Notamacropus eugenii: one gene and its partner. The protein of the gene in region 1 purifies or fractionates together with the protein of each later gene. This does not show direct contact. Links are inferred from orthologs where the notes say so. Each region holds a gene or a part of one and is shown on either strand. Other genes may lie near its edges.

Region 1 (15,633 bases):
AAGCATATTTAACTATGAAGATGACAACACAATCAAAAGAAGTAGGAAGAGTGGAAGGCTTAAGGATGATAAATACCAAGTAAGAATTCAGTCTCAGGTATTTGATTTTTGAGAGGCCTGGTAGACATATCAAGACATCTATGTCCTGCAAACAACTGGAGATGCAGAACTACAGTTCAGAGGAGAACAGTTACATATAAAGAATTGGGAGTTATTTGTATAGAGCTGATAACTGAACACATGGGAACAGATGAGATTCTCTAAGGAGAAGAGTGTGGAGAAAAACGAGAGGAACTGAGATGATAAATGTTTTCAGTAAAAGAGCAAGATGTCAGATAAACTCACAAAAATAACAATGAACAAGAATCAAGAAATAGACTTATCTTTTATACAATAACAAAAGTATCAAATATCTGGGCACTGACTTCTCAAGACAACTTCAAAATTATTTTGAAAGAAATCAAGGAACTAAACATATAAAGGGCTCTCTTTTGCTTGGTTAGGTAAAACAAATAAACTGCAAAACAATTTGCGGACTTAAAATACCAATCACAATATAAAAGTTTACTTTATAGTTAAGTCATGACAAAATTCTAGCAGGCAAGAATATAAAAATTTAAATGAGACAGAAAAAGACTTGTCCTACCAGATTTCCATAATTAAAGTAACAATTACAAGATTGTATGGTATGGAAAAAAAATAAATACAACAGTTAAGAGAACCCAGAAATAGGATTCGTAGGTTAGCACATGATAAAATCTATGACTAAAATGAACTTTCAGTAAAACTAATACGGAATGTGAAAGTATGACATAAAATAAGCTGGTATAAGATGAAAAATGAGCTTTAGGCACACACCCCGCACTATATAATAAACACTAACTAGATTAATAATGTAATAATTTGCCATTTTTAAAAACCAGAAGAAAAAATGTCTCAAATAAGAAGACAATCAACATTTTATTAAGCAAATGGAAAAATAATTTGAAATTTTGAATGGGTTTGACTATGTTAAAAAAGATTTTGCACAAAAAGAAATACCTCTAAAGTTAAAAGAAACAGATTATAGGGGGAAAATGTTTTTGCAATTGTCTGTCAGTTAAAGACCTAACCAAAGAAACACTGCCTTAGGACAGGGTCTTAAGAACCTATATCATATCTACTAGATATTCAAATATCTCTAAGAACTTTACCTAAATATTTCTTTTGTATTTATATTGTTCTTTGTATTAAAGTTAACTATATATACATATATATGTATATATATCTTCACTCCTTCCAATTAAATAAATGTAAAATCCTTTAGAGTAAGTTCCCTGGTTATAGCTATTTTTCTATCACCAGAATAACCAGCAGTGTTTAGTAGACATTTAATGTTTGTTATCTGACAGAGAAATTTATATTCATGTATGAATCTAACGTATCACATAGACAAATATATGTATTTTAGAAACATTCTGGTAGCCTGTAAAATATCCTTTTTATCTTAAATAAAACCATGATCATCTTATTTCCCTTTCCCCCTACTTTTTTCCAATGAAGTGGATCCCTGAATAGAAAAAGATTAGAATAAGAAGAATGTACTAGGATACCAAATAGACTATAAAACCGCACCAACTCATATGAATTGAGGAAAAGGTGAGAACTAGTGAAAAGTCTTAACTACCTAGTGGAAAAAATGTGTCCCTTAAAGTCCTACTTCAATGCATCATAATGGCATGATGGTAATCCTGTGTTCTGTAGAACTCAAGTTCAGAAAGGTCCTACCAAAAGAGAAAGGCTTCAATTTACAGGCCCAGTGACAGACTACATCAGTCAGTTGTCCAAAGACCAGGCTAAGTTCAGATAGGATCATCATAATTAGACTGTCACCAGGTGATCAATTTTTTCAGTCACAAAAACTCAAGAGACTTGAACAATGTATAGCAAAGTTGTAATCTATGACAGTGGAAAGGGATATACACACTGATGAAATTCTTGAAGTATTCACATATTAAAGAAATGAAGCTTAACTACTTCAAGTAATAGACACAGTATAGATTTAGGAGACCTAGATTCTTGCTGTGACTCTTTGCTAATTGCCTGTATGACCTTGGGCAAGCTACTCAGTATTTACTTTCTCACCTGCAAAACTGAAATAAACTACCCTATCTACGTCAGTTATTGTTGGTTTAACAAGTGTGAAAGTGCTTCACAAAAGTTTAAACTGGGAAATGTTGGGAAATGTCACCGACACTACCAAAATCCAGCTGAAGAATATTGCCTGACACTTAACAGCTAACATTTATGAAGCATTTACTCTGTGCCAGGCACTTTACAATTATTACCTTTCCTCCTCAAACACCCTGGGAGATTGTTGCTCTTATTATCCCCATTTTACAGATAAGAAAGCTAAGGCTGACAAAGGTTAAATGACTTGTTTGGAGTCTAACAGCTACTAGGTATCTGAGGCCACATTTGAACACAGACCTGCCTGTCTCCACAGTCTGGTGCTCTATTCATTATGTCAGCAAGCTGCCCACTTTGCTTAACAGTTTAAAATTATTTGTACATCCATCTATTTCTAAAATGCTAGTTCCAAAGCTAAATGTGAATTATGAATTGATTCTTTATAGCTACTTAGTAATCGATCTCTGTGCCCACCAAATAAGTAAGAATTTAAATAAAACATTGTACTTTGTAGCCTTTTCTTTAAAATGCGTATAATGAGAAGTAGCATGATAAGGTGGATGGAAAGGTCCAAGTCTCAAAGTCAGGAAGACCTGAGTTCAAGTTCTAGCTGTGACACATACTGGCTGTGTAAACCCTGAATAAGTCAGTGAACCTTCAGTGCCCCAGAAAACCCTAAGCATCTGAGCAGGTGCCCATCTGCATCGGGGGAGTTAAGTTTCCTCATAAAAGTGTATTAAATTTCAAAGTTTTAATGTAAAAAAAAGCATCGGTAGATAGTTTGGCTGGGCACAAGTGGTCAATGTAATTAAGATGGTGCCTCAGAATTTAAGATGTTATCAAAAATAAGGATAACTATTTTTCCATCTAATGCCTGAAACACTGAGCTGGATAAGTTTCTCACTTCATTTTCAGAGGCTGTACCAATACAAGCCCAAGAGGACCCCAAAAGTTATCACAGTGGAGCCTAATCCTTTCCCAAGAACTAAAAGGTTCAGTATTTTCACATGCAAATTTACAATTCCCAGGCATTCAGAGACGGAGGGATTAGCGAGTTGAGGGAAAAGGGGGACAGCCTTTCCAGGTATCCCCAAGGCTTAGCATGTATGATGCCTGGCACATAGTAGGCACTTATCATTTGTTGAGTAGTCTATGGTTCACACAATGAGGATCACTTCATCTTTACTGTTTGCATAAATAAAATCATTCGTTTGGAATATACTCCATCAAAACTTGCTATCACATATAGTTGCTAGAATGAAGTTCATTTTGACATTGTCTAAAAAAAAACCTTTTCCTAAACAAACTAATGGGTAAACATTGCAAGAACATGTAACCTAAAATATTTACAGGAATAGTCTGTAAATTTCTTTCTCAATTTTCAAATCATTTCACATACTCCAGAATTTTCTTAATTTCTAATTCATTGAAAAAAAGAGACAGATTAGCCACCAAACAACCCAAAGGGTATGTCTCATTAGGTGCCATTAATCCAGATTCTCCTATCAACTAGCATTTGGTCTTTAAAGGCAGAGAAATTGAACATTTTTTCTTCATCTGTAACCACAATAGTGCGGTAGAGGTCACAGAATGTGAGTTTGTTTTTAAAAAGTTACTACTAAACAACGGATTATTTATTCTGTTCTATAACATCCAGTTTTGTCTCCTGTTCAGGTCACGTGCTTTTCCTTCTCAGGCTTTTTCTATCTTTGGCCATTTCATAACACTGTTGAATTTAGAGCTGGAAGTGAACTTAAGAGGTCATCTAATCCAAACAATTTCACTTTATAGATGAAGACACTGAGTTTACCATGACTCGCCTAAGGTCACACAGCTAGTAAGCAAAAGGGAATTCAAAACAAGATCCTCTGATTTATAGGTCACCCTTCATTTACGCCAGGAGCCAGCATCTCTAAACGGTAGGTAAATAAAAATTTTTAGAAAGACAAAAAGTCCAAATTTAAAAATGTAAAGTGTTGTTCCTTGGTAAGTGTTTGGACATTACCATAAACAACTTGATAGGATCCATCAATGAGGTTTTTGATGAACAATAATTGTAATGTCCTCCAGGCAAACTTTATGACTACTGATTACCCACATAACGCACAAAAGCTATTACCACCTCTTCCGTTTATCAGGTTAAGTACTCGCTAAAACATCAATTTTTAAAGGCAATAAACTGGTACCTAAGTTACATGCCCTACAGATTATGTTATCTGAGTTAAATCTATGCCTCATCTTCCCCCCATTACCACATATAGTCGATTCAAACACACGGGAAGTACAGATTTTTAAATTATTCTTAATTTACTTATTTTTAGACAGCGCATTGCAGAAAGGCAAGCTCTTGGCTGACTTCAAAACAGTAATTCTGAATCTTGTGCTAAAATGGGAAAGGATCTCGGCAATCTCAAAATGATGAAATCCGTGGCCCAGAAATCCGAGAATTTATAAAACAGAGTATCAGGGCTGGGAGAGGAGCCTATGGATAATCGAGTTCATTTCCTTCATTTTGCAGATGAGGAAACTGAGGCACCGAAGCTCCCGTAGCCTGCCCGAGACCACCCGAGGGGAAGGGCTACTAAACCCAAGCAGGTCTCCCCCTCCCAAGCCCGGGGCTCTTCCTCCCAACTCCTCCGGGGCAGAGCTCCTCGGCTGCAAACCCCAGTCCGCCGCCGGAGGTGCCCAGGGAACCACACCAGCCTTTATCCCGTCCCGTGCAAATAAATATTAAAATTTAAGGAAGGAGATGGGATCAAACACGGTGAACTGGGCATCGGGGCAGGGATAAGAGGAGGAAGGCACTGAAATGCGGGGGGCGCGTGGGTATCAGTGGGGGCGGGGGAGAAGGGGAGAGATGAGGGAAATAGGGAAAGGGGCTGCGAGGGGGAGGGGCGCGATGGGAGAAAGGGGAGGGGAGCTAGGAGCCGCGACTGAGGAGGGGAGTAAGACGAGGGGGGCGAGTGGGGGAAGAGGAGGTAAGGAAAGAAGGGGTGAGGGGGTCACCCCCTATCCGCCCACCAAGTCCCGAGCCCCCAGGGAGCCGAGCGCCCCGGGGCCCGGGCGCCGCCGGGGAGGCCTACCTCGGCCCCGGGCTCTCGGGCCTCCGGAGGGCCGCGGCGGCCGGGGCATCCCCGCCGAGGCAGAGGCGGTGACAGCCGCGCTGCGCAGGCACTAATTCGCGGGGGCTCCGGGCTCCGCGCAGGCCGCCCGCCCCCCAGCCTCCTCCCGCCTTTACCTTGTCGCAGTAGAGCCCCACCAGCTGCTTCATCCGCCAGTGCGGGGCGGTGAACACGTCCACCTCTTCGGGGAAGGGAGCCATCTCCGCCGCCGCCGCCGCCGCCGCCTCTCCATAGACTCCCTCACCGCCGGGCAGAGGCGGCCGCGCGCCGACCGCCCCTCCCCTGCGCGCGCATGCGCCAGCGCCGTTCCGTCAGGCGCGCCCTCCCCCTGCTCTCCTTCCCCTCCCTCCTTGGGAGGGAGGCCCGTGGGCTCGTGGGCTGCCGCCATGCGGTCGGAAGGGTGGGGGGCAGGAGGAGGGAGGGAGAAAGCGCGAGTCCACGTGACCGAGGCGCGCGCTTTCCCCGCTTCCGCCGCCCGTCATCGGCGCTCAGTCTTCTCGATTCCCACTACTTGACCCCCTCACTTCCCCAAGGAAAAAAAACCAAACGGTTTACTTCTTGCGGTCGCTATTCAAAATTCTCCTTTCTGGCCAAAAGCTTCCCACACGCCGGGGAGGGGGCGGGGGGGCAGGTGTGAAGGTTGCCCTTTCCTCCTCCCCTCGCTCCGTTCGCACCGCCATCGCGCGGTTCTTTTTCTTCCAGTGCCAACCGTAATAAGAGCGACGATGGTAGCGCTGTTGTGGTTAGGGAACACGGCGGCACCCGGAAGCTCGGAGCGCTCGGTGCCCGAGGCCAAAGGAACCCTGGCGTCCCGAGCTCGGCGAGAGGAGCCCCGCTCGGGCCCCCTGACCCCGCTCCACCGAGAACTGCCTCGGAGCGGAGTGCCCCGAATCCCCGGGGCTCCGTCCGACCCTCGGCAGGAGAGGCCCCGGGCGGGCGGGCTGTTGGGCCTGCCCCTGAAACGTACAGCAATCTGGATGGCACGAGGGGAAAATGCGGATCATAACGGAGGCTTTGGGGTGCTGCCGTCTGAGTCCGAGCTTTACATAATACATTCTCGTATTAAGAGGATTCGTTCTGGTCCAAGGCTCCCCCTCTTGAGCACCTAGAGGGCCACATGTGCCTCAAGGCCAAAGCAAAAGCTACCGTGACCTTGGGCTGGTTCCCTTAACTGTTGTTGGCCTAGGTGACTTCATCTCTAAAATAGGAGAGGATAGTGGAGGAGATGAGCTCTCATCCAACATCCGGGGCTAACGTGTGTGTGCGCGTGCGCAAACGGGAAAGCTGCTGTGGTTGGTTGGTTGTCCTTCCTTCTCAATGAGGACCATGACCTCAGGATGAGGACATGACCTGCACTTGACCTTGATTTGAATGCGGGAGGGCTGCGCAAGGTCACCAGCCTCACTTTCCCCTCCTGAGCCATCTGGGTGCCGGGACCAGACATTCATCAGGATGCACTGGGAGACACCCATTCGATGAAAAGGCTTCTTTAAGTAATTACTCAAGGGAGGACCTCTTATATAACTGGGAGAGGACCCTCAGGGTGTCTGGGTAAAAGAGAAACAATTACTATTTAGTATTTACATTCTAATAGAAAGATGCCTGTGAATTGTGTGATCAGAGAAGAAGGCCAAAATTTCTCGGTATTTTGAAGGTAAAAAAGATCCTTTAACAGCAGGAAAGGAGGAGACTTGGTGATAGGGAAGTGTATATTTCAGGCAGAAGACAAACCTGGGACTGCCAGATCAACAAAGACTAGGTCAGTACGAGCAAGGGGGAAGAAAGGAACAAAATTTTATTTTATTTTTAACTTTTTTTTTTTTACTTTTCAACATTCACTTCCAAAAGTTTTAAATGTTCTCCCTCTTTCCTCCCTAAGGCAGCATGCAATATGATATGGCTCTACACATCTATTCCTGCTAAACGCATTTTCACGTTAGTCATGTTGCATAGAATTATAAAGAATGGGAGAGACCCCGAATAAGAAAAACAAAACCAAAAAATAATAAAATAAAATAGTCTGCTTCATTCTGTGTTCCCCGTCTATAGTTCTTTCTCTGGATGTGGATGGCATTTTCTATCATGAGTCCTTTGGAATTGTTTTAGGTCCTTGCATTTCTGAGAAGGGCTAAGTCTATCAAAATCAGTTGGAGCACACTGTGGCTGTTTCTGTGAACAATGTGCTCCAGGTTCTGCTCCTTTCACTCAGCATCACTTCATATAGGTCTTTCCAGGATTTTCTGAAGTCATCATTTCTTGTAGCACAATAGTATTCCATTGCATTCATATACCACAACTTGTTCAGCCATTCCCCAATGGATGGGCATCCCTTCAATTTCCAGTTCTTGGCCACCACAAAAAGAGCTGCTATAAATATTTGTGTACATATGGGACCTTTTTCCCATTTTTAATGATCTCTTTGGGATACAGCTCTAAAAGAACAGAATTTTAGAGGTAGAATGGAGATGATCTAGTTTATCTTTCACCTCCTCCTTCTATATTTAAGGAAACAGTTTAAAAGAAAACTCAGGTCCCACAGTTGTTAAGGACAGAGCCACAGGTGTAAATTGGTTGCTGGCTCCAAAGCCAAGGTTGCTGCATTGTCTTTATGGTTTGTTTTGTTTTGTTTTGTATCTCCCTAACAGCACCTAGGACAAGTGCTGGTAGTAGGGAAAGTGTTAGTGAAAGGCAATACCTCTAAACTTTGCCAAATACCTTGACTAAATAACTGACTCACTAGAGGATGAAGTAAGGAAATTTAGGGGGAAACAAGGATGTGGCTAAATTGTCTGAGAAGACTGGTAAAAAGACGTCAACACCGTGGATTGGAATTCCAGGTCTAGTTTACTATTAAACAGAAATCATTGTAAAGTCAGGATTAGAGGTTCTCTATATGATCATATAATAGAAAAGTACCAGACTCATACCAGGATAAACCTTTGATCTTGGGTCTCCTAGGCAGCCTAATGCCCAAAACATAACAATAATCATACAACATGTACCGTCAGATTACAATTGAGGAAATTTAGACTCAAAGTCCTCGCTTTTTAAGTACCTATTTGCTGCCTCATCTTGTTCTCTGAACTTTTCTCTACAAATTGTCTTCATTTGCATTTCTTATCTCCTGGTAGAGGACTGTCTTACTTTTCTTTTATTAAGTTCTTTAACTCTAGCTCCTGGAAATTATTATGACATAGTAGGCTTATAAATTAAGGGTAGATAAATGCATCAAACAATACAGTGTGGCAACAGAAAAAAAAAAAAAGAATAGATCTGCCCTAAGAGATTCATTGTGACGTGAGATTTGAGCCTTGCTGTGCTCTGAACTAGAATACATACACACACACACACACACACACACTGCATACCACTCAGGGTTCTGAACATGAATTCAACTGAATTTTCTTTAAATTACAGAATTGAAATAATAACATGAAATAAATTGGAGTGGTTATTTTTTCCTTTCCAAAGTGAAATTTTAGTTCACATCAGCTAACCATTAATATTTACTCTATAAACTGACTAGTGTAGCATTTTATCACATGACATAGCCAGAATTAAACAGCTGATGTAAACTGAACTTTACCCTTACAAGAGAGAAATGGAAAATATTGGTTAAGTATTATCACTTCAAGTTATAGCAACTACAGTTGATTAGCTCTGTGTTAAAGAAGCCAAGGCCATAGATATGACCCCCTCTATAAAAATCAGTTACCTCCTCTAGGGGTGACTTCTCTGTGCTCCATGACCACATACTACTCTTCTGACCCTAGCCAACTATGGTCACAAGGGAGATCAGATGATTGAGCTGAACCATCTACACTCTAAGTGGATACCTTCTTGATGATGGGGCAAAAGGGTCATCTTTGTGGACCATGCATGGCACATTATAGCAATAATACTCTAAATGCTTCCCTAGTAACATGAAAGAATGATATGTTAGTACTTTGCGCATGATAGGCACTTAATAAGTGTTTATTGAACTGAGAGTATCCTATACATCAATGTAATATTGTAAAAAGTACAAGAGCCAATATGGATCAGTGAGAACACTGAATTTAAAGAGAGTACTTATATTCAAATACTAGCTCTTATTATCTGGGTAAACTCTGCTACTATCTTTGTGATCTTAAGCAAGTAACTGTCCCTTTCTGGACATCAGTTTCTTCATCTGTAAAATGCCGAGTTTAGATTTAATACCAAGGTCCTTCACAGCCCCATATATGATTGTCTATGAACCAGTAATTTCTGGTTTCATAAAAGCAAGGTTGGCAGAATATAGGAGTGAACTATATCAAGGGGAAAGGTAATCAGTTTACTGAAATGTAATATCATAACTCTAGATTTTTAAAAATAGTTTTGAATATAGTTGTACCTTACTTTACGAAATATATATTGTCATTTCTTATCTCTTTTTTATATTGAACCCAATTTCCCATTCACTTTCTGTAGAAAATTTGAGATATGCTTTTCTAGGGGAAGGGGAGTTGCTTCTGTAATAGGGGCATGGTGATCATTACCCATAATATCTGAATTCTATGGAGACTATTTTTTGTCTTTATGTCCCCAGAACTTATCACAGTACTTGATACACAGTAGCTTAATAAATGCTAATTGACTGACTGACAAATTGACAAAGGCAAGGAAGCTATTGCTCTCTGGGAGAAAATTCCAGGGCTTGAGAATTATACCAATCTTCTACATGGATATAGGAATTGCTCCCCAGGGGCTTTGTTAAAGAAAAGAGTTAAAAGAAAGAGATATGATAATGGCAACATTGCTTTCTTTCCATCCAAAGAAAGCATGCTGAAGATGGCAGGCAGAAGAGCAAACTGCTCAAAGGATACAATGGATACGATGGATATGACTTGCTGAGTAGGGACTCCTGGTGTTGCAGCTCATACTTAACAAATTTAGGCTCCAGAGATTGTATTGGAGGTAAAATGAGGAGATCTGATACCAGAGTTGAGGCAAATTCCTAAATCCAAGAGGGTACAGAATATCTCAGTCTGCTGACAGTAACCACCCCACCCCTGTCTTGATGAGTTTCCTCATTTCTCTGAGGGTTGACTACATTTCATTGACCCATGAGGCTCTAAGAGGTTGTGCCATTTTATGTACAAGGAAGGAGTTGTAGGAATGGGAATGATTATATTGTCCAGTTTTTTCCTTTGTAATTATCTTGATATACTGTATTTAGTACTTTGCTCTTTGATTTGTACTTCCCATACAATTTGAATAATGAGTTTGTACTGAAATGAGAACTCAAGCCATATTTTCATCAATAGGCGTACCCTCTAAATTCCACTGAATTAGAGACAGTAGGGTCTCAGAACTGAGATGCAGGTTACTCTTTTTTAAATATTTTTTAAAGCAGTGAGACTTTTTTTTTTCAGTTCCAAATTCTCCCCCTCCATATTAAGAAGGCAAGAAAGACAATTGTTGATTAGTTAATGTCATATCCAACTCTTCATTTGGGGTTTTCTTGGCAAAGATACTGGAGTGGATTGCCATTTCCTTCTCCAGTTCATTTTACAGATGAAGAACTAAGGTTAACAGAGTTAAGTGACTTGTCCAGGGTCTCACGCACACACAAAGTATCTGAGGTCAAATTTGAACTCAGGCCCTCCTGACTCCAGGATGGGCACTCTATCCACTGTACCACCTAGCTACCCAAGAAAGACAACACCTCTCACAAATATGTATAATCATGGAAAATATTTTTGTATATTAAACATATGTGATAGTCATTTGAAACAAGGAGGTCTTTCTCATTCATTAATTGGCCCATGCGACCTGCATGGGTCATTAGTCAAAGTCACATGGAATCTGTGGTAGAAAGAGTTTGCTGAATGGGTAGAACAGGAAGGGTGAAGCAGGAAGAGGCAGAGCTAGAGCAGAACCGAGAAGAAGTTAGTCTTGAAAGTGATCAGAGCTAGGAAGGATGCGCTAATGTGAGTGATTTTGTGATTGTTTGTGATTTGTTTCATGGAGTTGTTTTGTGGGAAGCCTAGCTGGGGGAAGGCTTGAGGAGGGTGTTGTCCTCTCCATTGTTATAGATTTTTGTAATTGTGGTGGATTGGACTTTCTGATGTCTGAATCAATGTTTTGATTCTGCCTTCCATGTGGAGAGTCTGTTGTATTTCACAATTGAGAATTATACTGGGATATTCGTGGCCTTGGTAGGTGCTGCGAATACCCCATTGGCACTGTACCATGTTACCAAATATATATATATATATATATAGGAGATTGAACTAGGACTCCATCAAAAAGTTGGGCAGAAATAGTTCACATGAATGTCTAGAGTAGAGATGTCTCCCATTTCATTTTTCTTATCTGTTGCCATTGTGCTTAGTTCATAGAGTATAGCACCTTTTTTGATGCAGGAATATCATGTCCTCTACGAAGAAGAGAGGGAGATATATTCTCATACATCTTCTTTGAGATCAACCTTGCTCATTGTAATTCTGACACATTCAGTTTTGATGTTTTGGTTGTGGCAACTGTTCTTTCAGTTTACACTCTGAGAATTCTGGTGTGTTATGTTTCTTATGTTTCTACTTACTTGACTTTGTACCATTTCATAGGAGTCTTCCTATTCCTCTCATTGTATTGTCTATATTAATTGTATTTACAGAACAATAATATTCCACACATTTGTGTGCCATAATTTATTTAGCTAATCTCCAACTGATGAGCATCTACTTTGTTTACAATTCTTTGCTATCACAAAAAATGCCTCTATACGTATTTCAGTGTATATGACCTCTTTGGGGTATATCCCTAGCAGTGAGACATCTGGGTCAAAGGATATGGACACTTTCTTTACTTACTTGTGTAATTAAAAATTGCTTTCCATACTAATGCATTGTTGGTGGAGTTGTGAACTGATCCAACCATTCTGGAGAGCAATTTGGAACTATGCTCAAAGGACTATAAAAATCCTTTGATCCAGCAACACCACTTCTAGGTCTGTATCCCAAAGAGATCATAAAAATGGGAAAAGGACCTATATGTACAAAAATATTTATAGCAGCTCTTTTTGTGGTGACAAAGAATTGGAAATTGAAGGGATGCCCATCCGTTGGGGAATGGCTAAACAAGTTATAGTATATGAATGTAATGGAATACTATTGTGATATAAGAAATGATGAGCAGGCAGACTTCAGAAAAACCTGGAAAGACTTGAATGAGTTGATGCTGAGTGACATGAGCAGAACCAGGACAACACTGTACACAATAACAGCCACATAACCTGATGACCAACTTTGAAAGATTTATCTGTTCTTAGCTATGCGAGGATCCAAGAAAACTCCAAAAGACTCGTGATGGAAAATGATGTCCACATCCAGAAAAAAAAAAAATAAAAAAACTATGGAGTCTGAATTCATATTGAAGCATATTATTTGCTGTCTCTTTTGTTTGTTTGTTTCTTTTTTCTCATGGTTTCTCCCTTTGGTTCTAATTCTTCTTGACAACATGACTAACGTAAAAATAGGTTCAGTATGAATGTGTATATAAAGTCTATATCAAGTTACATGCCATCATGGGGTGGGGGGAGGGGAGAGATTGGGAGAAAATTTGGAACTCAAAATCTTATGGAAGTAAATGTTGAAAATTTAAAATTAATTAATTATTTAATTTCATTTGCTAAAAATTGCTTTCCAGAATGGTTAGACCAATCCACAGTTCTACAGTGGTGGGTTTGTCTGCCTGACTTCTGTGGCCCCTTCAAAACTGATCATCTCCATCCTTTTTCATCTTTACCAATTTTCTGGGTTTAAAGTGAACCCTCAAAGTTGTTATGACTTGCATTTCTTTTTTTTCTTTATATTAAGCCACTAGAATTTATTGAGTAGGGCGGTGACATGGTCAGACCTATACTTTAGGAAAATCACTTTTGTGACTGAATGGAGAATGAATTGGAGTGGGGAGAGACTTGAGGCAGACAGATCCACTACAGTTTATTAAGCAATTTCCCAATAGTTAGATACATAGGTTATTAGTATTTAATGATTTCAAAGGAATCACCAATGAACAATTTTGTTCAGATAAACTTTCCACAGGGTTTTCTCCCCAGACATGTCCCATTCAATAAAATTTAGGAAATAGTCCTAGTACTGAGTCCTCTGGATGACTTGCATTTTTAATATTATTGGTTATATAAAGCAATTTTCATAAGGTTATTAATAGTTTGAAACTTTTTGAAAAATTGTTTGTTCCTACCTTCTGACCACTTATCCACTGGGAAACGACCTTAATATTATACATTTGTGTTCCTTTCCTATCTTATCAGAGACCCCTCAAGGAAAGGTTCTTTCCCTAGCCCTTCGCCCCAGGACAGCTTTCATTGTTAACCTAGTTATATTGATTTTATTTTATCTATTTTATCTTTTGCTATCACTTTTATCATTTGTGTTGGTTAAAAATTCTCCCCCTAGTCAACACAATGAAAGGTACAAGATCAGCAAACAGACAATTGTCAAAAGAGAAAATAAAAATGATTTTTAAAAATCACTTGATGATCACTTATAATATTCTTGATGGTAATAATATAATTCACTAATAGTAAGAGATGCAAATTAAAACAACTTACACTCATCAAACTAGCAGAAATAATTTAAAGTGAGGATTATTCTTAAATTTTTTTATGTCCTGGACCCCTTGGAAAATCTATGGACCCCTTCTCAGAATAATGTTATTAAATGCATAACATTAAATACATAGCATTATAAAGGAAACCAATTATATTTTAAATACAGTTATCAAACTATTGACAGACCCCAGCTTAAGAACCACCGATTTAAAACAAAGAAATAGTTCTAGCAGGGGTGGATATACTTGTTCATAGGGATTTCTGGGTCACATGACTAACAAGATGGCAAACTAGGCATTTTTTCTGATCCTCTCTTTCTCAGACCTCTCCAAAATAGGAAAAATATATCAACCATAAAGCAATGTCAGCTGTCTCCATGGTCTAGGACAGCAAGAATCCAAACAAGGTAAAAACTTAATAAACTAACTGCAGAGAAGGTCAATATTCACTAACCCCTTGTAAGAACTCACTCAGCAACCCCCAGAACCACCCACCACCCACCACCCACCATGCTCCCAGTCTCTAGGCTGGACAAGCAGACCTAATGGCTGCAATAGATTAAACTCTACATCCCAACATCTTCTCCCTCTTTCCAGTGCCAAGGACATATCAACTACATAACACAGAAACTTGCTCAGGCTACAGTAGCCACGAGGAAACCTCCTGTGCTGCAACAGAGCTCTGCCAGAGAGCTAAGGAACAGAGGGAATTGGAACAGGACACGTGTCCCGGCATTAATAGAGCTCTACCCCATAGTTCTACCCCATCCTATCCTCCTCACAATACTAGGAGATCCAGATTTCAAATAGCACAAATTTGCTGAGGCTATGACAGCAGCATTCTGTGCCACTGAACCAGAGAACTGAGGAACAGAGGAAACAAGGTAGGACTCATGTGTGGGAAGGGATGTGTGGCAATCCATTAAACTTGAGGGAAAAGAGCCCAGCATCCAGCTGGGGCCAGCCAGTTCTCTAGATTTAGCCCCCAGGGAAACCACCACCAGAGGTAAAGAATCAAAAACTAAGTAATAAGGGAAAATAAAGGGGAAAAGAGTGAAATTACCAAAGATCTCAGAAGAAAGAAAATTCCAAGTTCCTGAGCACATATAGATAATGGGAAAATGTTAGCAGCAAATGGAAATATGACTACAGATCTTATAAGAGAGTTCAGGCATCTATGAGTAAATAGTGTAAAATAAAGAAAAATGATTCAACACTTGATATGACAGGTTACTGTGTATTTGGAGAAGAGCATGAAATCACATCATGCTATTTAAAAAATGGTTTTAAATGGTCTAAAAAAGAAATAAGAATTGTGAGAGTAGAATTTATGACTTGCAAGCAGAAATAATTGGCAGAATAGAAAAACTTGAATCTATAGCAGCAAGACACACAAAAGGAAGAAAAGAGAGGATAACTAATTGAGAATGAAACTACATAGAAGTAAAGGACAATCTGGAAGAAAAGAAGCAAAAAACAATAACATTAAAAGAAAACATACTCTCCTTACAAGCACAACACAATGATTTTGAACACAGGGTGTATAGAGACAACTTAAGAAGTATAGGTCTCTCAGAAGAACACAAATAAAAAAAAACCTGAAGAACATAAGAAAAGAAATAGTAAAATAAAATTGCTCAGAACTTCTGAACACAGAAAACAAAGTACCAATTAAAATAATCCATAGATCTCCAGGAAAAAAAATACTTTGGAGCTGCAAACTCTAAGATGTATAGTGGGTAAA
Region 2 (14,850 bases), on another chromosome or scaffold:
AAAGTCTACTATGTGAAGTCTACTAAGCCTTCCAAGCTTAGTAGAAGATGGCTGGCATAATGATGGCTCCTGAAGTTAGGAAGGAAGCTATGAATTGGTACCTTCTTGGACTCATGACATATGCAGAACTGTCCCTTTAAAATATAGGCCATTCCTGCCTATTAATCCCACTTCTCTGTAGCAAGGCACAGGGATCCGAAGTGGGGCACTGAGATGGTGGGTCAAAGCAGTGTTTATGTGAGCACAGACACAGAATGCACAATCAGACTTCTGTCTGAACTGAGCTGTAACCTCTCTAGAATTCACCGAATAGCAAGCAACTCTGGCTTGGTCCCACCCACAATCTTGGACTGCCTTTCCTGCTTAAGATGCTACAAGCATCTCTGAGACTCAGGGCAAAACTTGTTGTTTTATTATTGCTTAATTCAACCTTTTTTTTCTTTTTCAGGAATAGTATGTCCTCTCAAAGAAATCTCAAGAAGAAAATGAATACAGTGCTAATAGTTTTCTTACTGAAAACTAAAATGGCAGCAAATCAAGTTTATCAGGAAAAAAAAAAAGGGCATTATCAAACTGAACAAGCCCCAAATCAAGCTCTTTATATTTCTAATCTGCAAACCAGTTCCATTTTCCAACTTCCTCACTTCTTATAATTCTCCTTGCCTTCCAGGCTAAAATCTTTCAGTCATGTGGCTCCTGCCTCTCCCTCTGGCAGCCAGTAAACAAGAATTTTATTGAATTCTTTCTGTGTGCTAGGTACAGTGCTAAGTGCTAAGAACCCCCCACCCCCACCCCAAAGGTCAAAATAGTTTCTGCCCTCAAAGAGTTTACTTTCTAATGGAGGGAGACAATATGTAAATAACTAAGTACTTTGAAGAGGTAATCTCAGTGAGAAAGGCAGCTGAGGAAACCACGAAAGACCTGCAGAAGGTGGTGATTGAACCCGAGCCTCTGAATGAAGCCAGGAATCCTCAGAGATGGAAGTGATGAAGGAGAGCATTTCACACCTGGCAACGGCCAGTGCAAATGCAAGAAGACAGAGATGTTGGGCCATGCAAGAGCCAGCTGCCTTGGACTGTACAGTGTGTACAAGTGAATCAAGCATAACAAGACTGGAAAAGGTAGAAACTGACCATGTTATGGAGAGCACTGAATACTAAATGGAGGAGCTTCTATCTGATCCTGGTGTGAAATGAGCCCTGGAATCATTAAGGAGGGACATGGTCAGACTGCTTCAGAAATATCACTTGGGCATCTGAGGGGCATGGACTGGATATAGGGAGAACAGTTATAAGGCTGATCTAGTTAGTCGTGGTGGCTCTCACCTATAATCTCCTTGACATAGGAAGGCTGAGGCTGGGGTATGGCTTGAGTTTAGGAGTTCTGAGCTACAGTGGTTGAGTGCCTGCACCAATATTGTGAGGGGGAGGGGAAAGGAAGAGGAAGGGGAAAAACAGATGATAACCAACAAGCTATTTGCAGTAGATGAACCAACTTACATCAAAAATGGAGCAGGTCAATGACTTGTGGTGGGAATGGACCCATGGGAGAGAGGAAGGAAGAGAAGAAGGAAAGGAGGGAAGGAAGGAGGAAGGGAGTGAGAAAAGAGGGCTATTGCAATTGTCCAGGTGAGGTGATGAGAACCTGAATGAAGTAGGGTAGTGGCTGTGTGAATGAAAAGAAGGGGATTAAATGAAGATAAAAATGGCAGCATTTTGGCAGTTGAAAGGATATGTGAGTGAGAGTAAGGAGCTGAGGATGACATGAAAGTTGTGTTGGATGACTGAGGAGTCTTGGAGATTTGCTGATTCTTCCTTGTAAGAATCCTTCCTTTCTGTGAACATCGATGTGCAAAGTTTTCTGCTGCCCTCTATGTGGATACAAAGACTTATAAAACCTGACTGATGCCTGCCTTCCAGGAGCTTCTGACTGGATATGAAGAGATAAGGCACAGCAATAAACTGAAAACAAGGTGATGAATAAATCCCATGAGTGGTCCAGAACACAAATGGTTTTGAGACATCAGAGAAAGGAGAAAATCATTATGACTAAGATAACTGGGGGAGAGGAGATAGAAGGGCAAATACTTCCATGACCTGGCTCTTTAAGAATGGGGTAAGATCTTCTAAGATAGAGATGGTAGAAGAAATAACACAAGCCAAGGCACACAAGCCAGAAAGCCCAATAGATGCTTGGGGAATGGTTAGTAGACAAGTTTGGATAGAATAAAGAGCTCATTCAGGGAAGAGAAAGAAGAAAGATAACATGGGACCAGACTATGGAGGGCCTTTGAATGCCATACTATCCTAACCAAATGAGTGGACTGTTAGCTATACCTTACATTTCATCTCTTGCCTGTCTGCCTTTGCAAAGTGGTCCCCCACGTCTGAAAGGTCCTCCTGTCTCACCTGAGCCTATTAAAATTCCTACCTTTCTACAAAGCACAGCTCATATCCCATAGCCCACAGGAAGTCTCCCCTGATCTCTCCCCTTCAGTTGCTAGTGTTGTAATGCTCTTTCTTGAAATATTTTTGAATGCACTTACCTACGTGTGTTATATTCCTCTCCCCTAAGTAGAACATAAACTGCTTGAAAGTAGCATTTTGTTTTTGCTTCTGAATCACCAGTGTCCAGCACAATAAGCATCTAATATTTGTTATATTAAATTTATTTTATATGCAATGGGAAACCACTGAAGATTCAAACACAAGATGATGAAAACAAGATTTTTAAAAAGATTAATTTGGAGGTGGTGTGTAGGATAGCTCTCAACCTTTTTTCACTCAAACTCTAGTGAAGATTTGTTTCTATAACATTAAAAAGATAATGAAAAAGCTGTGGGTTATTAAAAATCGCCCAAAACCCCCACAAACAACCACAATACAATTAATGTACTAGGGATATAAAGACAGAAAGAAAAGTTCCTGCCCTCGAGGAGCTTACATTCTCATGGTCATATAAAAAAATCAGGATTTAAATTCCAAGTTGTGTCCTTTTCCCCCTCCCTCTGGGATTTTCTCCAACTTATCCGGTGTAGATCTTGCTTACATTCAGTTATTTACATGGTGTACTCTCCAGTAGACTGTGAACTCCTGCAAAGCAGGGACTATTATTTGCCTTTTGCATCCCCAGTTCAGTAAAATGTATTCATTCTCATCCCCTCCTTCACCAGGAGTAGCATAAAAGTCAGGAGATTTGCTTATTGGTAGCTTTTCGTATAGACTTCTAAAGTCTAAATACATTTAAGACCTCCTCCTCACAATCCAGCCCTATTGTAACAGAATTTTATCTTAAACTACTCACCCCAACCAAAAGCAACTCTAGAGTTAGGTCAGGTTAATGTCTACACTCTATCACCTCTAAGCTTTTGTTCATTCACCTAACTTAGAAATATCCTCAGCTCTAGGATGCAGTCTCCCAAACAAAAAGGTAAGTTCCCAGAAGGCAGGAGCAATCGTAACCTTTGTAATATACTCCAGCATTTAGCAGAGTGCTAGTAAAAACTTATCAAAACCTTTTTCATTCATTCACCTGGGACTACTGAAATCCCATTCATTTTACTAGGATGGGCTCAAGTCAGACTGCCACAATCACGTGCAGTGGCTAAACTGGAAAAGTCTGTAAGCCCAAGTTGATTTTGCCCCTTCTCTAAAACTTTACTGTCATAACCTCACAATTTAATGCAATTATTGAGTCCAGTCACTTCTGTTGTGTCCGTCCGACTCTCTGTGAGTGACATTTTGGGTTCTCTTGGCACAGATATTGGAGTGGTTTGCCATTTACTTTTCAGCTCATTTTACAGATGAAGTAACTGAGGCAAACAGGGTTAAGTGACTTGCCCAGCATTACACAGCTATTAAGTGTCTAAGGTCAGATTTGAACTCAATGAAGATGAGTCTTTCTGACTTCAGGTGCAACACAGTATATCCACTGCGCCACCTAGCAGCCCTGATAAGTATTATATTCTTATATTATTCTTTAACTGGCTTACTTATAATATCCCCCCAAAAGATTAAGCTCATGGATAGTGACCCCACCTCATAACTTGTGCAAGGAATTTAGGAGAAAGAACAAGTAGATATCTACAGATTATAATAACAGCTTACATTTATATAGCACCCAAGTTTTCAAAGCAAGTTGTTCACTAGAACATTGAGGTATTATCCCCATTTTATATATACGGGAACTGAAACTCAGAGGGGTTTAAATGAATAGTATAAGGTCAGAGATAAGTGATACAGTTGAATAAAGCCCAGAAGGAGACAGTAAATGTAGAGCACTGTATACAAAGCCAGCCTGCCAAAGACACTAAAGACAAGGGCCACCCAGGATTAATTTAACGAAGGGAACTTTGTTTAGAACAAAGAGACAGTGTTAAACGTGGTACCTAGAGCAGTGGACAATCACAATTGGGCTAGCTGGACAGAGTTTAGCTAAAAAGGATAACTTTTAGGGGTTTAGTAATTTAACGGGTTTTATTAAAATGTGAAAGCTATGCACTATCATTCAAGGTACACCAAATTTACCTTTATCAATTTTATTTTATGATCTGGTCCCTATCCAAATTTCTTCTCAAACACTGTTCCTCTGTCTCTAAAAGTCAAACACCTGGTTTTCAGTATTCATAAATTTGAGGGGTCACAAATAAGCAAATGGTACATCCTCTCTTTTAAGGCCTCCCCCTCCGAAGTGATCACAGCTTTCCTAATCAATGACGAGCCAGGCAATACTACAGAAGAGCCTAATCGATGCTGAGGGCCAGGCACTGTGCAAAGTACTGGGTTGTTTTCTTTTAAACCCCAAAATGACACAGTCCCCTTCCACCAAGGAGTCTACTTCTTCCAGAAAGTTAGGCTGTTTTTTACAGACTGGTAAAACTGTCAAACCCAAAACTCTTAGTGGACAACCTCCTCCCCTCCACAAGCTCGTTATTAATAAATTACGTTATTTACTATTTAGCACGGGATCGGGGGGCCCTGTAACCCTGCCTAACTCTCTAGGAAGATTTCTGTCTAAAGGAGCCCTGCCTCAGCCTCCTATCCAAGAATCCGAACGCAAACGTGCGTGGACGAGACAAGACAAAGTTTCGGGAGGGTTGAAAGCCCCGCGGAAGAGCGCGATACAGGGAGGGGGGCCCACGGGAAGCGCCCAGGCAGGGCCGGGGAGGCCCTCGGGGACCCCCAGAACTAGTGTCGCCTTCCACCACCCTTCTTCCTCTCCATCATGCACCCAAGGCCCGAGCCAGCTTCCGGAGCCCACGTGGCTCCCTGCTCCCGCCTGCCCACGCCACGCCACGCGCCGGATCTCCCGAGCCCACACCTCCTTCTCCTCCTCCGCCCCGGCACTGCTCCGTCGTGGCCCCTTTTCCCGTCCCGACGGCTCGGCCCTAGTCGGCTTCCGTCCCCAGGCCCACCCCAACCGTCGCCTCCTTCCCTGCCCGCCGGCGCCAGGGGCGGCGGCTGCTCCCTCCCCGCAGCTTGCAGCGCGGATGTACCTGCCGCCACCTCGGCCGCCGGGCCGTCCTGCTGCCCGACCACAAAGTCCTGGACGAGGCCACCCAGGGCGCCCGCCGGGGCCAGCGCCTCCTCAGAGGCCGCGGCCATGATCGGAAATTGGGAAGAGGAGGAGGGGTAAGAGATGGAGGAGACAGCCCCACGGCAGCGCCGGGGCAGCTTCGCGCATGCGCACTCCGACCAATCACGTGGCGAGAAAGCGGGAGAGGGAGGGTTGCCTAGGTCACGTGTTTGCCCCCTTCCCGGCCGGACCGTCCCGGGGAGAGAGAGAAAAAGGCCCCGTGTCGGAGGGGAAGGGTCAGCTGCCCGGGGACTCAGCTGGTTCGTAGAGTAGGTAGGACGGCACACCACCCTAGACGACTAACGAAGCAGACTTTCGGGGAGACCGGGCGGATACCTGACTGGGTGGGGCCCGGCTGGGACGCCCCCCTCGGGGGAACCCAATGAGAGAGCTGGGCCCGGGCAGCGGGGCGGGGCCGACGGTCACATGCTCACCTGGGTCGGGGGCGGAGCCAGAGCCGGGCGGGGCCCGGCCGGGGCGGGGCTTTGCAGGTGAGTGACAGTGTCCGGGGACGGACTCCGAGGAGATCGCGGAGCTAGGTCTGAGTGGCCTTGGCCGCGGTGCCCGCCCCTCCTCTCTCTCTCCGGCCTCTTCTCCTGGCCGCTCCCGGCCCCAGCCCCCCTGGCCCGACCACCTGGGGCGGGCTCTTGAGCGCTGAGGGAGCCGCCCTCCCGCCCGCTCTCCCGCAAAGTTTGTGGCGGAGCCGGCGGCGGGGGCTGAGCGTGCCCCGGAGAGCGAGGGGACAACGACTGATGCAGAACGGCAGGAGCAGTTGAGTCCGGAGTGGCCCGGGACCCGCTCGGGGCATCGGAGGGGCTGCCCGCTCGCCGCCGCCCGTGCATGGGGCCGGGCTGAGCCGCGGCCATGGGCAACTGCGTGGGGAGACAGCGCGGAGACAGGCCGTCAGCGTCGGGACACCCCCGCAAGCGAGCAGGTGAGGACCGCGGGCGCCGGCTTGCCCGCCTCTGCCCCCCGCCGTGGCTCCGGTCCCTGCCCGGGCTGGGCTCGGGAGGAGGAAGCGCCCTGCGGGACGGGGAGCCGGGGAGGTGGGGGGAGGAGGCGGTGGCCGGTCCGGGCAGCCCCGAGCGAGCTCCGAGCCCGGCTCTGCCCGACTGGAAAGTGGCGGAGGCCGCCGGGCCGGGCCAGGAAACGTTCGGGACTGCTGCGGCGCGGACCGGGCGTGGAGGGCGGCGGCTCGGGCGACTCGGCTCCTCGGCGCAGGGGCCGAAGCGGGCTGCCGGGGCCCGGCCGGAGCCGTCTAGGAAGCTGCTAGTCCTGGGGAGCCCCGGCCGGACTCAGGAAGTCTTGAACTCCTTATTTTTTTAACCAAACTCCCCGGCTTCGGTGCCTGCGCCGGGAAGAGGTCGGGTCTTGGGCGCCTGGTCCCTGAGAGTGCCTCGGGGACCTTCCAGAAATCACAGGATCAAATTCTGCGAGATCCTCCTGCCCATTTTCCTGACGAGGAAACTGAGGCCCGAGAGGATGACGCCCTTGTTCACGTTCCTCCTAGAGCTCCGTGTAGAAAGCAGGTCTCACAGTTGCCAGTTTTTCTTTGTGTAAAAGGGGGTTTCGCAGCCGGTTTTGTAACGAGAGTTTTCTGATACCAAAGGTGGGTCACCGAACCTGATTTCAGGGGCACCTTTTTTCCAGAAATGTGTTTTTATGGAACGGTTTGAGAAAGACTTCAGTTTTAAAACTAAAAGGGTAGGTTTTCCTCTCCACCGTGCACACTTGGGGGCTTCCAACGGTCTGAACACCACATTCCTTATTTTCTCAGTCTTCAGCCCCTTACTCTCAACAGCATTTGATGTTGACCAGCCTCTCTTGGAAAACTCATCCCTTCCACCGAGTTGTGTTCATTTTGTCTGACCTTTCTTCCTTTTCCTGGCTCCACTTTGCCCCTAAATGTGGGCAGTCCCACGGTCACCCAAGTTGTCCAGACCATTTTTACCTTGGTACCAAAATAGCTTCCCATTTTCAGGATTCAGCTTCTTAAACCCCTTGGATTTCCCAAACCATCCTGCACACTCTCCAGTCACATTCTTCGGTACCACTGGATCTTGTCCAAGTGCTGCTCACAGCCCTTCAGCAGCTGACCATTGCCAGCAGGATCAAGTCCACGTTCTGTAATGTGGTACCCAGGCTGTACAGGCCTCCTTTGCCTGTCTCCTGCTCTGTAACTGTCCCTCCTCTCCCCCAGTCTTGTGCCTTTAGCCCACCTCCACCATGTTCTGCCCATCCATAATCCATGTGAAGCATTCCTGGATTTTCCATCTTCCCAAGTTAGAAGTGATCTTCCCCTTCCTGTTCTGAACCTTTTATGCATTTATTCCCTGTACTATCGATCTGGTGTTTAGTTTTAGTATCTTGTTCATGTGAAGTTTCGGCCAATTGACAACCTGTTTGAGGGCAGGCATTGGCTTTAGGAGAACTTATATTTCAAGCTTAAAGGGATCTTGGAGGCCATCTAGTTTGACCCCTTTATTTTGTGGAAAAGGAAAAACTGAGACTTAGGATGTAACACAAATACTTCTCCTATCCAGACAGCTTCTATACTTCACAAGTAGCTTTACTAAGGCAAATACTTATTAAGCACGCACTGTCTGCTCCCTAGATGCTGGAAGATAGAAAGACAGCAATGCAATGGTTCTTGCCATCAGGAAACTTCCCTTTTTGTGGGGCGTGGGGTGGGGAACAGGGCTTGGGTATTGAGATGGAGACACAGGATGTACACAAGTGTAATATAATTTATCTAACTAGCCTGAGCTGGTACAGTAGGTTCTTAGGGGAAGGTCACAAAGGGGACAATGTTTGCAACATGGTAAAAGGGGTATGTGTGGAGGAGATGGTCTTTTTTTTTTTTTTTTGGGCGAAGGTCTGAAATCATGGTAAATACTTGTCATTCCAGTAACATATCTGAAGCCTCACTCTGTGACACAGTTTAAATTGTGACCTGTTCCCCCACATTTCAAAGAGCTCCCCTAGTCCCTCCCTTCCCCATGACCTTTCTTTGCCACTCATCCTTGAGATGGATAGAGTTCTTCATGAGAACAATTCCATAAGCACCCTCCCTTTCATTCCACTGTATGATGTCCTTCCATGCAACAAAAATTACTTTTGACTGACCCCTGCTATCCTTAGACAAATTTATGTCCATGTCAATGAGGTAATTAAATGGTGTGCCCCCACTTGTTAAAAACTTAGGTGACTGATAGGAAGGTAATTAATTTTCCTGATTGCCTCCTATATGTAGCAGAGCTGAACCTTAAACACTTGAGACTGATGGAATTGGAGATATGTATTTGCTTTGGGGATTATCCTATAATTCTCTTCCAGACTTGTACTTCCTTGGGCCCAATGTGTGAGGATCAATAGGCCCTGCCCAGCATGTTTGTTATAAAAGAAGATAATTCTACACATATGGCTGTGACTGTTGATGAGTAATGAGATGACCCTTAGTTTTCTGTTCTCTGTTAGCCTTCCTGTGGCACTTTTATTTATGGGACTATGCCATTCAGCAGCTTAGAAGGAAAGCAGTAACTTAAGGTTTGCACTTGGTGCAACGAGAAGCCCTTCTGTTGACCCTTTGCTTTGGGGAGTTCTTAAAATAGGAAATCCTGGTTAGAATGCGGGGGCGGGGAGGCCTCTTGTCAGTATCTCACATTTCCCCCTATTCAGAATGGTGATTGCTTGGGCTCTTATCTCTGCTAAACTGCCAGCTGTGACTTGTTTGTGGGGGGAATCCAGAAGCACAGATAATGGGGCAAAGGGGCTGGGGTTTGGGTGGATAGGGGGGTGCAGATTTAGCCTCTGGCCTTTTTCTCCCTTCACTTGTCATGCAAGGTTTAGAATCCCATTTTGAAAGAGCAGTCTTTGCAGCGAGGGCCTGAGGTAAGATTCAAGCTCTTCCACTGATTAGCTGGAATCTGGGCAAGTAATTTCCCTCTTTGCTCCTTGGTTTTTTATGTTGGCAGCCTCAGAGGCCTTTTCGCTCCTAAATCCTGGGACTTAAGATTTTCTTTTTGCAAAACTTTAAAATGAGAATAAAATTGTACCTGCACCCTGCCTAGTTCCTAGAACTGGGATAGAAACTGGGAACACCTCATATGCAAAATATGTTCATGAAATGACAAAAAGATCTTGGATTGAGATCTTGATTCTAGTTCCAGATATGCCTTAGAAAAGACACTTAACCCTTAAACCAAACCCTCTCCCCCCAGCCTTACACTTTCATTAAGTATGTGACCATTGGACTTCAAAAAGATGTTGTGGGGATAAAACTAAGCTAATCTTGTAGTGTAAATGCTTTTGGAAAAATTATAAACCCTGTACAAATGTGAGGTGGAGGAGTAGTCTCTCATTTATTTGGCATTTGGGGGGCAGAGGGGAACAGATATTTAACTGTGGAAGTATCTAAACTTTTTTTAAAAATCATTTTAATGAAAATCTTACTAAAATGAATTTTTTCCCCTCTCTTTAAGCCCCTCCCCCATGCTGTGTCATTTAACCTTTTCTCACTGAAGCAAGTTCATGTTTATGTAATAGTCTTGAGTATATTTGCCCTTATGTCAAATCCCCCAGATTGCCTCATTCTTTGGGCTAAGAAACTAGAATTGTGTTAGAATTTTGTCTAAAAGGAGGGGCTCAAAGAGTCTGCAACAGAAGTTAAGTTCATGAGCTCAAGTGTCTGGACTTGGGTGGGTCAGACAGGCTTCTGGGTTCTTGGTCACATTTTGGAAAGTCAGGGCTATCTTTGTATCTCCAGCTTGGTGTGTAGTGAAGTGGGATTGATTACCACCACCTGAATGAATGCTAAAGGCTATTATGCCATGTTATTATAGTTCAAAGGCTGATTTTTTAAAAATCTCATTTGCTCTCTGAAAGATGTAGGAATGATATGACCTGGCTCAGAGATAGGTAAACATAGAAAATAAGAGTGAGAAAAAAGCTGACAAGTGGAGTGTATGACCTACCGTTGACAGTGACCTGTAAGTTCCCTGGCATATGTCCTGGGGCCATGTGTGGCAAAGTGCTTCCCCTTCTTCTGGAGTTAAGCAGTGCCTGCAGGGGAGTGTTTGCACGTTTCAGGAGAACTTACCTTTTATTGATCATCCGGGACCCCATCTGAATTCCCTGTATTGGGCATCTTAGGAACAATGACCCATGTAGGGAAAATAGCATTTGCCTACTGTGTGCTGGCCACCATGGAGTTCCCCAGTCCTTCAGAGCTAAGACACAGGTGCACCACTTTTACTTTAGACCTGATGCCAGCCTTATAAAGTGATCTCCAGAGAGGAAAAGGCTGAGCAGCATTGTCAGGTAACTAAAGCCGAGGCAGAGGAAACTTGGCTAATTGACAGACACTGAAATCCGGGTGCAGATCTCTGCTTTGAGCCAAGACACTACCTCCTCACACCTTGTATTAAAGAGAACATCTTTCGTTTTCTTATTTAGGGAAGTACTTTTCTGATGGAAGTATCAATCTAGATTTCCTAGCTTAGTAACTGAAGGAGGCACAGGTGCAGGATTTGGGGTAAGGGAGAGTAACCGTAGAATAAAATGTTTCTTTCCTTTTTTTTAAATATTGGAATGGTTCTTAGAAAATATTTTGAGGCTTTTAACTTAGGTTTGGTAAGAATAAGACAATAGAGGAGCTTATCAATTTTGGCACAGTTGTCTTTTTGATAAGAATACTAAGCATTTACATCACAGGTGGACAATATGGCTTGCTTTCCTTTACTTTTTCCTCTTTCTTTTCTCTTCACCCTTACCTTACTTTACCTTACTAGCTTGAAAAGGCCAAAGTCCCCCAGTGCATCCTGGGCCCTTTCCAGTTGTCCTGATCATATCTGGCCAGATGACTCCAGAGGACACAGATTGGTGGCTGCACAGCCCTCCCTCACTGAAATCCACTTCACTTGCATGTCATGGCATCAACCTCCCTGATGTCGTGGGCCTCTTAGAGAAGGAAGGACAGACAGCAGCAGCAGGTCAGCAAAGTGCTTTACTTTGTTATCTCATTTGTGAGTGCTATTATTATCCCCATTTTAAAAGTGAAGAAACTGGGGCAAAGAATAGTTAAGTGAGTTGCTTAAAGATACAGAACTAGGTATCCCAAGATTTGAACTCCAGTGTTTCTGACTGCAAGTCCAGCCTGGCTAAGGCTTCCACAAGTAAGCAGGTGATTGCTCCATAGAGATCTAATGAATGCAGGAGATTCCAAAGCCCTGGTTCATAGCTGTCCTCATGCCACCTCCTCCCTTGCAGCCTCACCCAGGGCTTCTACCACCATCACCACTACTCCCCCCTCCCCCCCCACAAAAAACCATCCCCAAAACAAAACAAATCGCCCAGCGGGGGAGGGAACCTGAGGCTCCCATCTCCTGCCCAGGGAAGTGCTCCATGGTCCATTAAGAACAGTTCTACCCTGTTGTAGATCTAGCCCTGGTTTGGGTTCCTAGGAGCAACATAAATAGAAGGTAAACAAACACCTTGGTGTCCTCAAGTTAATGGGCTAGGCTGGAAGCTTCCAAATGCCAGGAACTCAGGGACTTGTCAGTGGCCACTTGAGGGACTCTGCATTTGCTCCTGATTTCTTAAGGGAATTGATGAAATACAGATTTATGTTAGGAAAGTACTTGTGCTGGATCAATTGTTTTTCTCTTTATAGAGAAAGAAGGTATAAATGTAGCAATAGACCCAGTATAAATGGAGAGTAGGGGGCAATTATCTACATAATTAAGGTCTTTTTTTTTAACCCGAAATACCCAGGTGATTGAAATGAAAATCTCCGTTTGGGGCTCCACCTTTTCCATAGCTAGGTCATTGCTCCAGGTCTTTAGACATACACACAGACCCCTCTCCCTGCCCCAAACCCTACAGTTTGAGTTTCCCTGAAGGTTTCCTGTACCTCCTGCCATATTATAATCCCCTCCAGTGTTGCATCTTTAGCCTTTGTTACCCTCTAGTCCCAGAGGATAGTAATTGTCTTTGCATGGCAAATAACAGTTCTTTAGGTAGGGTTGTACAGGCAAACAAAGTCCTCCCTTCCCCCTCCCTGTTTATAAGGTGCTTTTTTTCACCAATTTTATGAGGACTCATGTTGAACATGTAAGCACCTCCTTGCTGCAGAATTGCCTGACAGATTCCAGCCTTTGCTTTAGGGTAGTGTCTTCCAGCTCTGGGATTCTCATTGAAGTACCTATTTTCTAGTTCAGGGATGGGGAACCTGGGGCCTTGAGGCCACATGTGGCCCTCTAGGTCCTCAAGGGCAGCCCTCTGACTGAATCCTTAGAAATTTGTTATGTGAAGTTTGGATTCAGTCAAAGGGCTGCCCTTGAGGAGCACATGTGGCCTAAAGGCTGAAGGTTCCTCACTCCTGCTCCAGTTTGTCTCTATATTGCATGCCACTGCACACAGTATTTACAGTGTCTGTCATCAGTTCCTGGTCTTCTGGGTACTTTGCTCACTACTTTTTATAGGTTTTGTTTCCTGAAAACATTTTCTGAAGCTTCCAAGTGTGGTGGCTATGAATTTCTGCAGCCAAAAATATTTTTCATGTTTAAAAACTGAATTTCTGTACATTTTTGTGTGAGAGTCATCTGTCTAGCTAGAAGAGTGACCATTTTAAACTTATTAAAAACTTAACATTGTGTTGATATTCTAAACTTGCTTATTAACTTTTACACTTAAGTTCATTTCCATGCCCGACAGAGCCAAGAATGTCCACGTGGTTAAGTGGCAAGAAGGACAGGCCTGGGAAGTCTTGCAGGCTGGCATTTTGTCTCCTACATACCGAAGGAGCTTTGGGCCATGGACAAGTTGCCTAACCTGCCTGGGCCCCAGGCTTCTCTCTCCAAGTTAATTGCAGCTCTGCTGTGTTGGAGGTGTAGTTTCTACTTTGAAAGTTTCCTATACACATGTCTAAACCAGAAAGTAAAGGGATCAGAACAGTTTTTCAGGCGTTCTCTCAAGTCCTCATTTGGATTATTTGTCCATTCTCATTCACTTTTCTTTTTCTATGTGTACTCCATGCGTTTGCTTGGTTTTTTTTCTACTTTGCATTCTTCCATAAATGCCTTCCCTGATGTGTTCCTTGATTTTAATTGTATCACAATATTCCTTTATCATAATGTATTGCAATTTAACCATTGTTGTTGTGTATTTAGATTGCTTCTTGTTTTTTGCAAATACATGTAAAATGGCTGGAGACCAGCCATTCTTAACTAAGGGGACACCAAGTTAGACATTTGCATCTGCTGTTCTTTATTCCACTGCCATTCTTTTTGCAGGGTGCCTTGCTGGAGTATCCAAAAACCCTTTTCCCCCATACCACTCCACCCTTATGGATGAGCTCACAGGGCCAACTCTTTGAGCTATACATTATTCCCCCCATCTTCTCACCAGCAAGCTTGCCTCCTCCCAGTACCTTTGCCCACCAAATCTACTTTCTAATTCTGGAACCATAGTCAGATCCATACTTCATTATTCCTGTAAAGGAGTTTGTTGATATATTTTCCTAAATCTCTTGTCAAAAAACCTAGTAACTTTTCCTAGCCAAAATACTGCCCCAGCCACACTCAAAAATACATGTGGATTTCTTTGTTAGAATTTAAGCTCCTTGACAGCAGGGACTGCTTCCATTTCTTGTTTTGTCTTGCTTGGCTCTTCCAGTGCCCTTCCATCAAACCCTTAGGACTTCAGAGGCCTGTCCAGTTGCACTGAAGCTTGCATTTCTTACATAAATTTTCTCCCTCAATTAGAGTGTGAGAGCAGAGACTGTCAAGATTTTTCTTGTGTCCCAGTTGTTAGCAGTGTATACATTATTAATAATTTTAAATTCATTTATACCTAATAAAATATTGTGTTGTATGCTGAATTATTACCAGTAAACTAATGCACTATGATTAATATTGCTCCCTTACTGGTTGCCAGTGATTGTGCTCCTTGCAGGGACACATTATAAAAAAGAAGTAGCCAATTCCTTGCCTTGGGGAGCTCACATTACTCTGGGCACAACTTCCCAGGGTCTTGCTATCTTCCCTTATTATATTGTCGCCCCACCCTGACCTGAACAGAGTGTGGTCCTTTGGTGGGAGTGGTCTGTACTTGATCATGTGCTTGCTCAGGGAGCATAGGCTGCTCTGTTGTGCCAGCTAGATCCTCTAGGGTCGGTGGGTATTGCCATCTGGGGCATGGCAGAGAAGTGAGCAAGGGCAAGTTAGAGGTGCCTAGCAGGGTAACCCGCCTTTTCCCTCAAAATTCATTTCCACTTTG

The links.
Region 2: the proteins of FBXL5 (region 1) and MMS19 purify together in Homo sapiens (affinity purification with mass spectrometry; 4 studies listed by BioGRID and IntAct, counting the BioPlex papers as one, with this or other methods). This does not show direct contact. The link is inferred for Notamacropus eugenii from reciprocal best matches to the Homo sapiens genes FBXL5 and MMS19.

Annotation. Positions count from the first base shown.
Region 1 is NC_092877.1:68,186,469-68,202,101, forward strand, and holds the start of FBXL5 (F-box/LRR-repeat protein 5), read right to left. Parts: upstream 5,596-15,633; 5' UTR 5,492-5,595; coding exon 5,408-5,491; intron 1-5,407.
Region 2 is NC_092872.1:214,291,672-214,306,521, forward strand, and holds the start of MMS19 (MMS19 nucleotide excision repair protein homolog), read right to left. Parts: upstream 5,832-14,850; 5' UTR 5,604-5,831; coding exon 5,495-5,603; intron 1-5,494. Other genes in the region: UBTD1 (ubiquitin domain-containing protein 1), read left to right, coding at 11,432-11,564. UniProt on the Homo sapiens protein: Key component of the cytosolic iron-sulfur protein assembly (CIA) complex, a multiprotein complex that mediates the incorporation of iron-sulfur cluster into apoproteins specifically involved in DNA metabolism and genomic integrity.